3 linked regions of the Saccharomyces cerevisiae S288C genome follow. The protein of the gene in region 3 interacts with the protein of the main gene of each other region in a biochemical or structural test. Each region holds a gene or a part of one and is shown on either strand. Other genes may lie near its edges. The genes, in order: GGA2, TDA3 and ENT3.

Region 1 (3,938 bases), on a different chromosome or scaffold from region 3:
GTTTTTTGAGATATATTTGAAATATTTTTATAAGATACATATATATATGTGCGTATTGCTGCGACAAAAGAAGAGACAAAGAGATAGGCGTTGAAATTGACGAGACAAAGAGGAAGACATTAATTAATCATCATTTTAAATGGGATTTTTTTACTTGCAAGCTTTTGACCTGCTCTTCTAGTTTTTTTACCTTTCCTTGAATTTCTTCCAAGTCACCGTTCAGTCTGATTCTTTCGTTAACAATGTTTTGCTCCCATTGTCTAAATCTTTGCTCCTCAGCTTTGACTTGGTCAGTGAAATACTTCTTCAATGCATTTTCTTCTTCTTTGTATCTAGGATTGTGTGACAATTTCCTTGCTGGTGCAATTGCTGGAAGAGTGAAATCTTCATTCCCCTCCCCGGTGTTCTCGTGACCCTCAAGTCTTAATCTTCTGTATGTTTCGTAATGCATTTCTTGGGTGGTAGAAATCAAATCTAATAGATAAGTCCTCAGTAACAGGGCTCTGAGCTTACGGAAATCACAATGAGAATCGTTTTCGATTTCCACAAGTCCCCAAGGATACTTCCTTGCAACTACCTGAGTGCCTTGCCCATTGTCAAATTTTTTTTCAGACCCTACTATGGCAAATGGCATTGCTTCTATCAACTGTCTTGCATGTTCAACAGCGGCAGAATCTGGATTACTGCCACTTTTGGCATCTTCCTTAGAATCAGCGTCTAATGGAGGCGTGAAAATACGAATTTCTTGAGCTTCTATTACTTGCCTGATTCTGGACTTGAACTGTTGTAATTCTTGGGCAGTCAATGTATCAGCTTTCGCAATAACTGGAATCAGATTGGCTCTGGTTGACAATCTCTTCATAGTCTCAATGTCAATTGGCTTTAAACCATGTCCAGTGGGCCTGATGAAGTACAGAACGGCATGAACTCTCAAGTCAAATTTCTTAGTACGGTACGGTTGCTGCTCTTGACGCATATAAGAATCGTGTTGATCATCAATAAAATCCACCAATGGTTGCCAGGCTTTGTTGTTATTCACGTTATCTCCAAAACCTGGGGTGTCGATGACATTAACGCGTAATTCGAAATGCTTCTCTTCCAGCAAAGCTCTTGTGATGTCGATTTCTACAGTCTTTCTGATGGGTTCTTGGCGGTGTTGCTGACCATCTGCCCTTTTCAAGACAGTCTGAAATAAGGTATTAATAAATGTAGTTTTACCCAATCCGCTCTCACCACATAACATCACGGTGAATGTACCACCTTCTTCATTAACAATTTTATAACGCTGGTTGGGAAGATTGGATATCCCTACAGGAGGAGGAACAGGGGCAGCAGTCGCAGTGGCAGCACTCATTATTTGATACAATATGTGATGTAGTTCGTTATCAATACTCTTCAGGTCAAGATCCTATATCTTGCTGCACCTTTCAAGACTTTGATCTACTCAAAACAAACAATGGTGATTTCGAAAAAAATTTCGGATTCTTCACTTTTCCAGCGCCCTGTTTTTTTTCTGTAATCACGATTGCAAAAAAAAGAGACTTACCATAGGACAATTTCCATAAACAAAACAAAGAGCAACATAACTCATAGCTGAATTGCTAATCGTGATACTGCATCATGTCCCATCCGCACTCACATAGCATATATTTGTCTGAGTTGCCCGTCAGGAAACCTCAAGCCTTGGGCAATCCTCTTTTGAGGAAGATTCAAAGAGCTTGCAGAATGTCACTTGCTGAACCAGACTTGGCGTTGAATCTTGACATTGCTGACTACATTAATGAAAAACAGGGCGCTGCCCCTAGGGATGCTGCCATTGCACTTGCTAAACTGATCAACAATAGAGAATCGCACGTGGCAATATTCGCGTTATCTCTATTAGACGTGCTTGTCAAGAATTGTGGATACCCATTCCACTTGCAAATTTCTAGAAAGGAATTTTTGAATGAACTGGTCAAGAGATTTCCAGGTCACCCACCATTACGTTATTCTAAGATTCAGAGATTGATTTTAACTGCTATTGAAGAATGGTATCAAACAATTTGTAAACACTCAAGCTACAAGAATGATATGGGTTATATTAGAGACATGCACCGTTTGTTGAAATATAAGGGTTATGCATTCCCCAAAATCAGTGAATCCGACCTAGCAGTTTTGAAGCCTAGTAATCAATTGAAGACCGCTAGTGAAATTCAAAAGGAGCAGGAAATTGCTCAAGCTGCAAAACTCGAAGAATTGATCAGGCGTGGTAAACCTGAAGATTTGAGGGAAGCTAACAAATTAATGAAAATCATGGCAGGGTTCAAAGAAGACAATGCCGTTCAAGCTAAACAGGCTATTTCCAGTGAATTGAACAAATTGAAGCGTAAAGCCGATTTGCTGAATGAAATGCTGGAATCACCTGACTCACAAAACTGGGATAACGAAACTACACAAGAACTTCACAGTGCATTAAAGGTAGCTCAACCAAAATTTCAAAAGATCATTGAGGAAGAACAGGAAGACGATGCGTTAGTGCAGGATCTATTGAAGTTTAATGATACAGTTAATCAACTATTGGAAAAATTCAACTTATTGAAAAACGGTGACTCCAACGCTGCTTCGCAGATACATCCAAGTCATGTTTCTGCTCCGTTACAACAATCTTCTGGTGCTTTAACGAATGAAATCAACTTAATCGATTTCAATGATTTGGACGAAGCGCCCTCTCAAGGCAACAACAATACCAACGGCACGGGTACACCAGCAGCAGCGGAAACATCTGTCAATGACTTATTGGGCGATTTGACCGATTTATCTATTTCGAACCCTTCAACCGCTAACCAAGCATCCTTTGGTCTGGGAGGCGATATCGTGTTGGGGTCCTCTCAACCCGCACCACCAGTTACTACTACTAACAACTCGAACAACACTTTAGATCTTTTGGGACTTTCAACTCCTCAATCGCCAACTAATTCCCAAGCAGTAAACAGTAGTGGGTTCGATCTTTTGATGGGATTTAATCCAACAACAGGTACTACTACTGCGCCCGCAAGAACCCTAGTCAATCAGTCTCCTAACTTGAAGATTGAGTTCGAAATATCTAGGGAGTCAAACTCAGTTATAAGGATAAAATCGTTCTTTACAAACTTAAGTTCGTCACCGATCTCCAACTTAGTGTTCTTATTAGCAGTCCCTAAGTCAATGTCTTTGAAATTGCAACCCCAATCGAGTAACTTTATGATTGGCAACGCTAAAGATGGTATCTCTCAAGAAGGTACAATTGAAAATGCGCCAGCTAACCCTTCAAAGGCTTTGAAAGTCAAGTGGAAGGTCAACTATTCTGTCAACTCCACCCAAGCTGAAGAAACTGCTGTTTTTACGTTACCTAATGTATAATCCTCTGGCGTTTCTTATCAATCCTTTCTCTTCTCTATGTATATTTTTAGAAGGATAATACCTCTATGTAGACAATCTTATAAAGATCTTCGCAACAATACATATTTCACTTACTAATATATGTTGCGTTTTCATGCATCAAAAGTAGTTAGCAATGCTAGATCGTGTAAAGGAAAAAAAAGAGAAATAGTATAATTCGCCATCCTCATAACCACTGAAAAATCGAAGTTAACCAAAAGGAAAGTTGAAATGGAGGAAGTGTTCCGTTTTTACTCGAACTCTAGAAATATCTTCATTCATAAAAGCCTTTCATTAAAACCATCCACCATTGATGACCCCAAAAGTGGATATGGCCTTTTCGTAGAACCTTCGAAGTTCAAGAATGATGAATTGAAAAGTGAAACTATCCAATTGCTCCGAATCCCTAAGCGCTGCACGTTTAATATAAACACACTTCTGGCTCTCTTGGGAGATGAGGACGAATTTTCTTCAAAGGAAGAATTTCAAAGAACTAATGACAAAATTAAGATTGCTCTTCGTGAAATAATGGCTCATCCGAA
Region 2 (3,921 bases), on a different chromosome or scaffold from region 3:
AAGTCTGGCAAGGTGACTTTGGTTCTCCTTGCTGTGGTGGAGAGCAATGACAAACCACCCTTCTTGGTTAAATTAGCAGCTGCTGTTTTCGCGAACATCCTGGTACGTTTTTAGGAGGTATAGTTATCAATTGGGGTTTCGTTCCTGTAGCAGCAAGTGAAAAGCAATCGCTGTAGCTAGCTTGTATATTTTGGGGATGCAACGCTCTTATATACAAGTTATAGCTTCTTCATCAGGGGTGTCTGCTACGGTCGCGGAAATTTTTCGGCACATCCCTACTTTTTTTTTTGCGAAGCTAGTGGTTCGGCCTGTGTTATTGGTCCAGGTTTAAGGTCGCGCCAACAATGATAATAGCAATTAGTAATCAGCTCAACCTCAAGTAGAATACTACACGTGCAATCGGTAGCATGCGCAAGGGCAAACAGGATAGACGCCAAGAGAGAAAGAGAAAGAGAGAGAGAGAGAGAAAAAAAAAAAAGAAATATATAGATTTAGGTATTCGTTAAATATATACACATTAAATGGCCTCAGAAATTTTAAATATATAAATAAATAAGCTCTTATATGTACAAATTTGTGCATATACTTTTCTTGACCTTTTTACTCCTCGGCTTGATTAAGAAAGGATGGTGGCGTCGAAATATAACTTTGGATCCAAACTTGAGATTTCCGCAGAGGTTGCTTCGCCATCAAGGAGAATCTCAGCCATTAATTTACCTGTTGCTGGCGCATTGTTAATACCCCAACAAGAATGTCCACTTGCAATATAAAGATCCTTGACATTTGTCTCACCAATTAAGGGACCAGAACTTGTAGGAACGTTTAAAACTGGCAAAAAACAGGCTTGTTTCCGCAAGAGATGGCCCTTTGATAGAGTTGGCGATAATTTGGATACGTAATGGTACAATTCATCACACTTCTCCGAAACTACCTCCACATCGTCCGAACTTTCAGGTATATTGACTAAAGTGTCGCCTTCGCCGCACACATAAACTTCATCTTTTCTAGCATACATTTCAGGGGAGAAAAATTCACGGTCGTTAACTTTTAGTTCAGCAAGAATAGCGTAAGGTGAAACTGTCTTTTCACTAGGCTTAATGGTGACAGAGTGGGCTCTCAATCCAGAAATTGGACAATCTTTTAGAATCTTGGAAGTCCAGGGTCCCATACTCAAAACAATCTGCTGGATGTCATTGATTTCAATGGGCTTCGCGTTCTCATCGTTGAAGATTGTACCCAGCTTAATGTCTGGATTTTCTGCATGCCCTCTGCTATTTCTGCGATTCTTGACGACAGATGGAAGGTACTTAAGAGAATGAACACAATCCATCTCGTCACACTTTAGCCCAACTACCTTACCTAGGAGAAGATCGACAGCACCTGTTTCCATTGCCTTCGATAAGATGAAATGGGTGAATTTATAGGGATGAAGCTGCGCTGTGGTATCAGTACCACCTAGTGATGACCAATCATTAACCAATTCTCTTCTTATCCAATCTAAATCAGCAGGCAAAGGATTATGGATATTAGTCTCTCTCAGTTGCTCCACGGGACTTACAGAGTCAAGATCAGATGCGCTATTTGTGTGGCTTCTCATGCGCTCATTTGTTAGAGAGTGTAAACTGGGTACTGAGCTAGAAACATGAATGTCTGATCCTTCTTCCTCGTTACTAGCGGAGTCGTTTTTCAAAGAAGAGCCCGAAGAACTCAAAGATGAATTAGAGTCCCCGATGTTAAACTTGTTGGATATGTAGCCCGGTCTCTTCTTTGGAGGAGGGACATTCAGATTATATGCCTTCTTGCTCAGTCTTTCGTAGTTTTCAATGACTTCTTCGCGAACATCTGCTTCTAAGGACACAGTCGTCAATCTTCTGTAGTCCCAGTTGTTTTCTCCATCATATTCATCACTCAACTCCTGATGTAGCTGGAAACTTAAAGGTACGATTTGGTGAGGGAAAGCCCAAGATGCAAGCAAGCCACCTGCTTTACCAGAAGCCCCTCCAGCAATGCGCCTCGATTCAATGATGGTAATATGATGCGTCGAAGGGCTGAAACTTGGATGCTGGGTCAAGTAGTAAGCAGTACAGCAACCGATGATACCGCCACCTACAATGACAATATGTTTTTTCCCTTCGCTGTTCTTTGAAGGGTACGTTTGAAACGGTGGGTGCATAAAATCTTCACCCATTTATAAACACTATTCCTTCTGTTGCTTGGTTAAAATGCTATTGATACTTAGATGGTGTATTGGAGAGCACGAAAATCTTTTGCTGAGTGACTTGAACTATCAAACAGAATTACTTGTTGGCTGATTTTTTTTAAGTCTTGATTTAACAATAGAAAAAAAAAAAAAAAAAAAAGGAACAATATAACTTTTGTAGTACGTGTGCCAGGTTACAGATATGGTTTCACTTCTATGTCGTGCTTTTTTCATTCATACGTAATCTTATGCATGTAGGGGATAGACGCACAAAAGCACCAAGGCTGCATGTATTGATAAATTGGCTTACACGATTCCAGCTAAGGGGACTCGGACGGAACCGTCTCATATTATACGTTCAGTGAATATTTTTCACGGAAGAATGGAAAGGGCCTCGAAAGACGTTAATGCATCCGTACACCTACATCTTTACATTTTTTGCTGTTGCACCTACACTGTTTTTTTTTTTTTCACCTTATGAGTCCTGTATTTCTTGAAAGAGCCGATAACAATATTCCAGGTGGAGTCCCGAGGCAGAATCAAGGCTGCGGAGAGAAGTTCCTCTCAAACTAATGGGAGTGATCCGCTCAGTTCTCCCATCACGACAGAACTGTCTGAGACAAAGTCTTTCCAGCAGAGCTCCGCCTACGCTCTTGCTGCAGAGATTCGCCCGAAGGCAGGTTTCCTGAAATTCTTTTCACTAGTAAAGTGTTCGTTCATGTAAAACATACTGCCGTAGTTTTGAGCTAAAATTAAAGATATATTAGATTTTTAGAATTTCTTAGATAGTCTCAACGTGTTAAAACAAAAGCATAACCAAAGAAAAAAATGGCTAAGTTCTTGAAAGCTGGTAAAGTTGGTACGTATCATTTTCAGTTTTTGGACATCAACAAAAAACCGTGCAACTGTGGTATTAGAAATCCAAGTTATTAGCAGTTGATGTTGTATAATTTGAGTTTGAATTCGAGTATTGTATCTTCATATGGGAGTAGGGAGGAAAAAGCGTGGAGATGTTAGATCTGGGAAAAAACCTTTAAATTTGAATGATAGCTTATTAATAGAAATATTGGACAAAAAGATGAATGATTTAGGAGCGAAACTAACGATTATTCATATTCATTGAGCTATACGAGGCAGTGGAAGGGTTATCAAAAAGTTGTAATTTAAAAGAAAAAAGCATCAATAGCCACCAAATAAGATGGTGAAAGTTCCGCGATATATTTGCTAAGACCATAGGCACATGTACGCAGGCGACCAGGGCCTTTTATTTACTGTAGTTCTTTCCATGCCCTATTAAAAATTCGTGGGCCTATGATAATTTTTCTCTCCCTAGTATTGAAGAACAAAATTGAGAATTCGCCAAACTTTAAGAAGGGTTCACATTTACTAACTATTTCTTTTCCTTCCTTTTTTTACACAGCTGTCGTTGTCCGTGGTCGTTACGCCGGTAAGAAGGTTGTTATCGTTAAACCACATGATGAAGGTTCCAAGTCTCACCCATTTGGTCACGCTTTGGTTGCCGGTATTGAAAGATACCCATTGAAGGTCACCAAGAAGCACGGTGCCAAGAAGGTTGCTAAGAGAACCAAGATCAAGCCTTTCATCAAGGTCGTCAACTACAACCATTTATTGCCAACCAGATACACTTTAGATGTTGAAGCTTTCAAATCCGTTGTTTCTACTGAAACTTTCGAACAACCTTCCCAACGTGAAGAAGCTAA
Region 3 (3,699 bases):
TTGCACACTTGAATTTAACAAAAATTTCCGGTGCCATGGTTACGTTAACTTTAGAAATATTGGTAAATCCTTCTGCAATGAGCTTTTTCGAGATGTGAAAAATTAGTAGAGTTTTCTTTCGTGCCTTTTTTTTCGGTGCGTCAACTTTAATATATAGTTATAATTGCTCTATAATGCTAGGCAAAAATAAACGAGAAGGAAGGTGAGTTTTAGTTCATTGACTAAAAATGAGCAAAAAAAGTCAGGAGTTTTTGTTTTGAAGGGCACTTCAACTCTCGAACTATGGATTTACAGTTTCTTCCTCGTCTTTTTAAGTAAAGTATTTTCAAATGACCAAAATGTAAATAAATTTGAAAAGGGCCCTTCTTTACGAAAAAAAGATCAAAAAAATGTTCACAAACTATTTCACGAAATCAAGACAAACATATAAAGGAGAAATACAGTGGAGATTAGATAGTAATGTTCGTAATACCTGTTACAAAGTACTTTCTATTGTTATAAAACATTTACATATTGTGTAAACCAATAATATCACTCAAAAGGAAAGTAAATCGATTTCTTTGGATGATGTATGGTTATTATTGGTATTCTGTTCTTGTTGAACAGCTCCACCATGCATTTCACCAAATTCGTCATCATCATCTTGATCTGTACTTAGTGCAGTTGTGCTATTAGATACAGGATTAGAGGCAGCGGCTTTCGCTTGGGATGCTTTAGGAGCACTAGGTGCTTCTGCAGATGCCTTTGCAGTTGAAAAGAGAGAGCTAAAAGGATCTACTTTTTTAGGTTCCGCAATAGCTGGGGTAATCTTGCCTTGGTCGGTAGTGGAGCTGTTATAAAAAGGCATTGAACTCGTGGTGGCGGGCATACCCTCAATTGGGCTCGTGTTTAGCAAGTTAAACGAATTAGCAGGGTTGGTAACAGGGACGGCGCTTTGAAATTCTGAAAACTCGTCATCATCGTCCTCTTCTTCGTCCGCCTTCTTTTCATCTTCTTGTATGAGTTCTTTAGATGGTTTTGAAGACTCACTAGAAAAAAAGTCAACAAAGTCCTCTGGTTCTTGTTTTCCTTGCCCAGGAGTAGATGTGGCTCTCGAGGCATTATCGTTATATCCATTTTGACTAAAAGAACCATCTTCGTTATCTTCATTGTCACTATCGAAATCAGCACTCACGCTAATGCCGTGCACTTTCGTTGACGTGAAACCTGCCTTCGAATTCAAACTGCCATCAGCAGAGGCAGATCCTCCAGCAACGCCCTTGTACTTCTTTGCCGTTTCTCTTGCCTTTTTTCTTTCTGCGCGTATCTTATTATCGTCGCTCAATAATTCAATCAAAGCTTTGACCCTAGTTCTGACATTAATTCCTTGATCTCTTCCCTGGGAATCAATATAGTGAAAAGTTTCTAAAATCCTAATTAAGTTAATGCTATTCCTTGTATCATCGATAAACCTTTCAGAACCGTGTTTGATAAGGTAATCGAGCAATTGCAAGGCTTTATAAATTTGCCTCCACTCACTACCTGCCTTTTCAGTGAACCTTCTGAATATCATGGACAAAATTTCTTCTCTTTCCCTGAAATTGTAAGTTCCTTGAGAAATCTGGTCCATTAAAGTGGATGAGGCACCCCAAGGCTCGTTGTTTGTCGCTTCACGAACTTTCCCCTCCATCTCAGTATAATTGAAAACAACATTTTGAGCTTTACGAAAATATTTCTTGGCGTCATATAATGACATGTTGGCTAATGTATCCTCTAAACTCATTCTTCCTAACACTAATTAACGATGTGATCTCCTATCGACGTCCCTACACCTTCCTGAATTGGTAATTTTTGCTTTCCTCAAATAACTGTATCTACAAATCATTTCATGATTCTTCTAGTCCCCTTTTACTTTTCCTAATCACCTCGCACAACGTACGGTGTGACATGTATAAGAAATTGAAGCCATGTTTATAGAGTATATACAAAAAAGCCTCTCATGGTTATTATTCAAAGTCACTCTACGTATGCAAATAAAATAAATGTATATACTGAGGTGAGGTACTTAAATGCTTATTGAAGTAAATAGCGAACGTTGCTGAATTGGCTTAGCAAAATGGTTAACCACTGAATGACCTCGTTTCTATCAATATCAGCCAATCCTTCGTGAAGGCCGGGCAAAACTTCCCCGACAGATCCCTCAAACTTACTAGGTGCTAAAAGAGAGTACTTCATCCATTCCCTGTCTTTCAGTCCTCTGTGTGTAATAAATAATTGATCAATTTGCTTTGATTTGCTATTGGATCGTTGCAGTTTAATATAGCTCTTGATTTTTTTGTAAAAAGCCCAAACAGGTAAAGCTTCCCTACACTCTTTATAGAGAATACCATTTTGTTGGTCAAATTGGATGCTATCTTCCTGTGTGGCAACTTTTAATAAGTCCAGAACCCTTTTTGCTAAGCTGTTCACTTCATCGTCCTGGGGAAATGCTGAAGATAGATTAGAGTGCCATGCGATATACCAGTTATATATTTTCTTCAGGTAAACATGTGTATTGAATCTTGCCAGTTCGTTTTCACTCAGCATCAGCGTTGTCAAACCTACAAACATGGCCATGGTGTTGTGTAACTTGTAGTCAGAATTGGTAAATTTTTCCAACCAAGTTGGGCTATCGAATACGGAGTTACTATGATAGACTGCGCCTGAAGTATCATTGGCATTAAACTGAAAATGTGCAGCGGGCACTCCAAGATGGTACTGAAATGAAGTGTAACTAGACAACCCATCAAGTAGAGAAATAGTGGCATTAGAAGTGTATTTCCAATGGTCGAACAATGACCAGTCTTCGTGCCCATTAAATTCCGTGAGCTTAGCAGCTTCGTATATCACGTCTTGTAAAAGTGGGTTGGCTTTACAGTGAAAATTTGTCCCAGAGATTGCATTATCTAGATTTAGGTATACCAAGGCCCTTCTCCTGAGAATCGCAGCATGAGCTTCTGCATAATCTGTAGATCCCAGAAGGCCGGATCGTTCACCATCCCAACTTATTAGTTTGATAGGACGCAGTGGCTTCCAACCATGCTTAAGTAATTTACTCATTCCTCGTGCAATTTCTAAAAGAATAGCGCTGCCACTATTTGCATCACCGGCGCTACTCGAGGCGAGCGAATCCCTATGAGCTCCGATAATAATCTCCCCCTCAGTGAATATACCAGGGATACTAACCTCTACACTACTCATTTCCTTGATGTTGTAAGTTAGCTCATTATGCAAATGGACTTTATCGATAGAGCTTGAAGGTCCAGTGAATGATCCAAAATCTTTTATATTACTACCGGGCCCAATTTGAAAACCCCTGCCATTCAATCTTTCTAAAATTGGTTGGACATCTCTAGCACTCATCGGCACCGATGGTATCCTCGGCACTCTCCCTACCGGTGACATATGTTCAGTGTCGGAATCCTTGGAGGGATACCCTGGAGTTGTCGGATCTCCTGGAGTGTCACTGAAATAGTTTACAGAATCTCTCCTAATATAACTTGGGTTTCTTGCTGGTCCATAAGGATAGTGTAAAAACCCATTTTCCTCAGTAACTTTACCATCGTCAAATGGGTCTGTATATATAATGACACTGGAAGCGCCATAAAGTTCTGCATTCTTTACCTTTAATCCAGGTAATATTTTACCCGATCGTACGATGTGGATTTTATCTTCAATATC

What was found.
Region 1: the proteins of ENT3 (region 3) and GGA2 form a complex in vitro, tested with the Saccharomyces cerevisiae proteins (2 studies listed by BioGRID).
Region 2: the proteins of ENT3 (region 3) and TDA3 form a complex in vitro, tested with the Saccharomyces cerevisiae proteins (one study listed by BioGRID).

The regions. Positions count from the first base shown.
Region 1 is NC_001140.6:326,683-330,620, forward strand, and holds GGA2 (phosphatidylinositol 4-phosphate-binding protein), read left to right. Parts: upstream 1-1,620; coding exon 1,621-3,378; downstream 3,379-3,938. Other genes in the region: septin CDC12, read right to left, coding at 131-1,354; CTM1 (cytochrome c lysine N-methyltransferase), read left to right, coding at 3,628-3,938. UniProt on the Saccharomyces cerevisiae protein: May play a role in the regulation of membrane traffic through the trans-Golgi network.
Region 2 is NC_001140.6:123,493-127,413, forward strand, and holds TDA3 (Tda3p), read right to left. Parts: upstream 2,189-3,921; coding exon 617-2,188; downstream 1-616. Other genes in the region: superoxide dismutase SOD2, read right to left, coding at 1-98; 60S ribosomal protein eL27 RPL27A, read left to right, coding at 3,029-3,059, 3,621-3,921. UniProt on the Saccharomyces cerevisiae protein: Putative oxidoreductase that negatively regulates the retrieval of cargo from late endosomes to the Golgi. Regulates YIF1 and KEX2 localization. Required for fast DNA replication.
Region 3 is NC_001142.9:654,202-657,900, forward strand, and holds ENT3 (Ent3p), read right to left. Parts: upstream 1,763-3,699; coding exon 536-1,762; downstream 1-535. Other genes in the region: YJR124C (uncharacterized protein), read right to left, coding at 1-37; VPS70 (putative zinc metalloprotease), read right to left, coding at 2,053-3,699. UniProt on the Saccharomyces cerevisiae protein: Involved in the recruitment of clathrin to the Golgi network and endosomes to form clathrin coated vesicles. Plays a role in the trafficking of clathrin between the Golgi network and endosomes.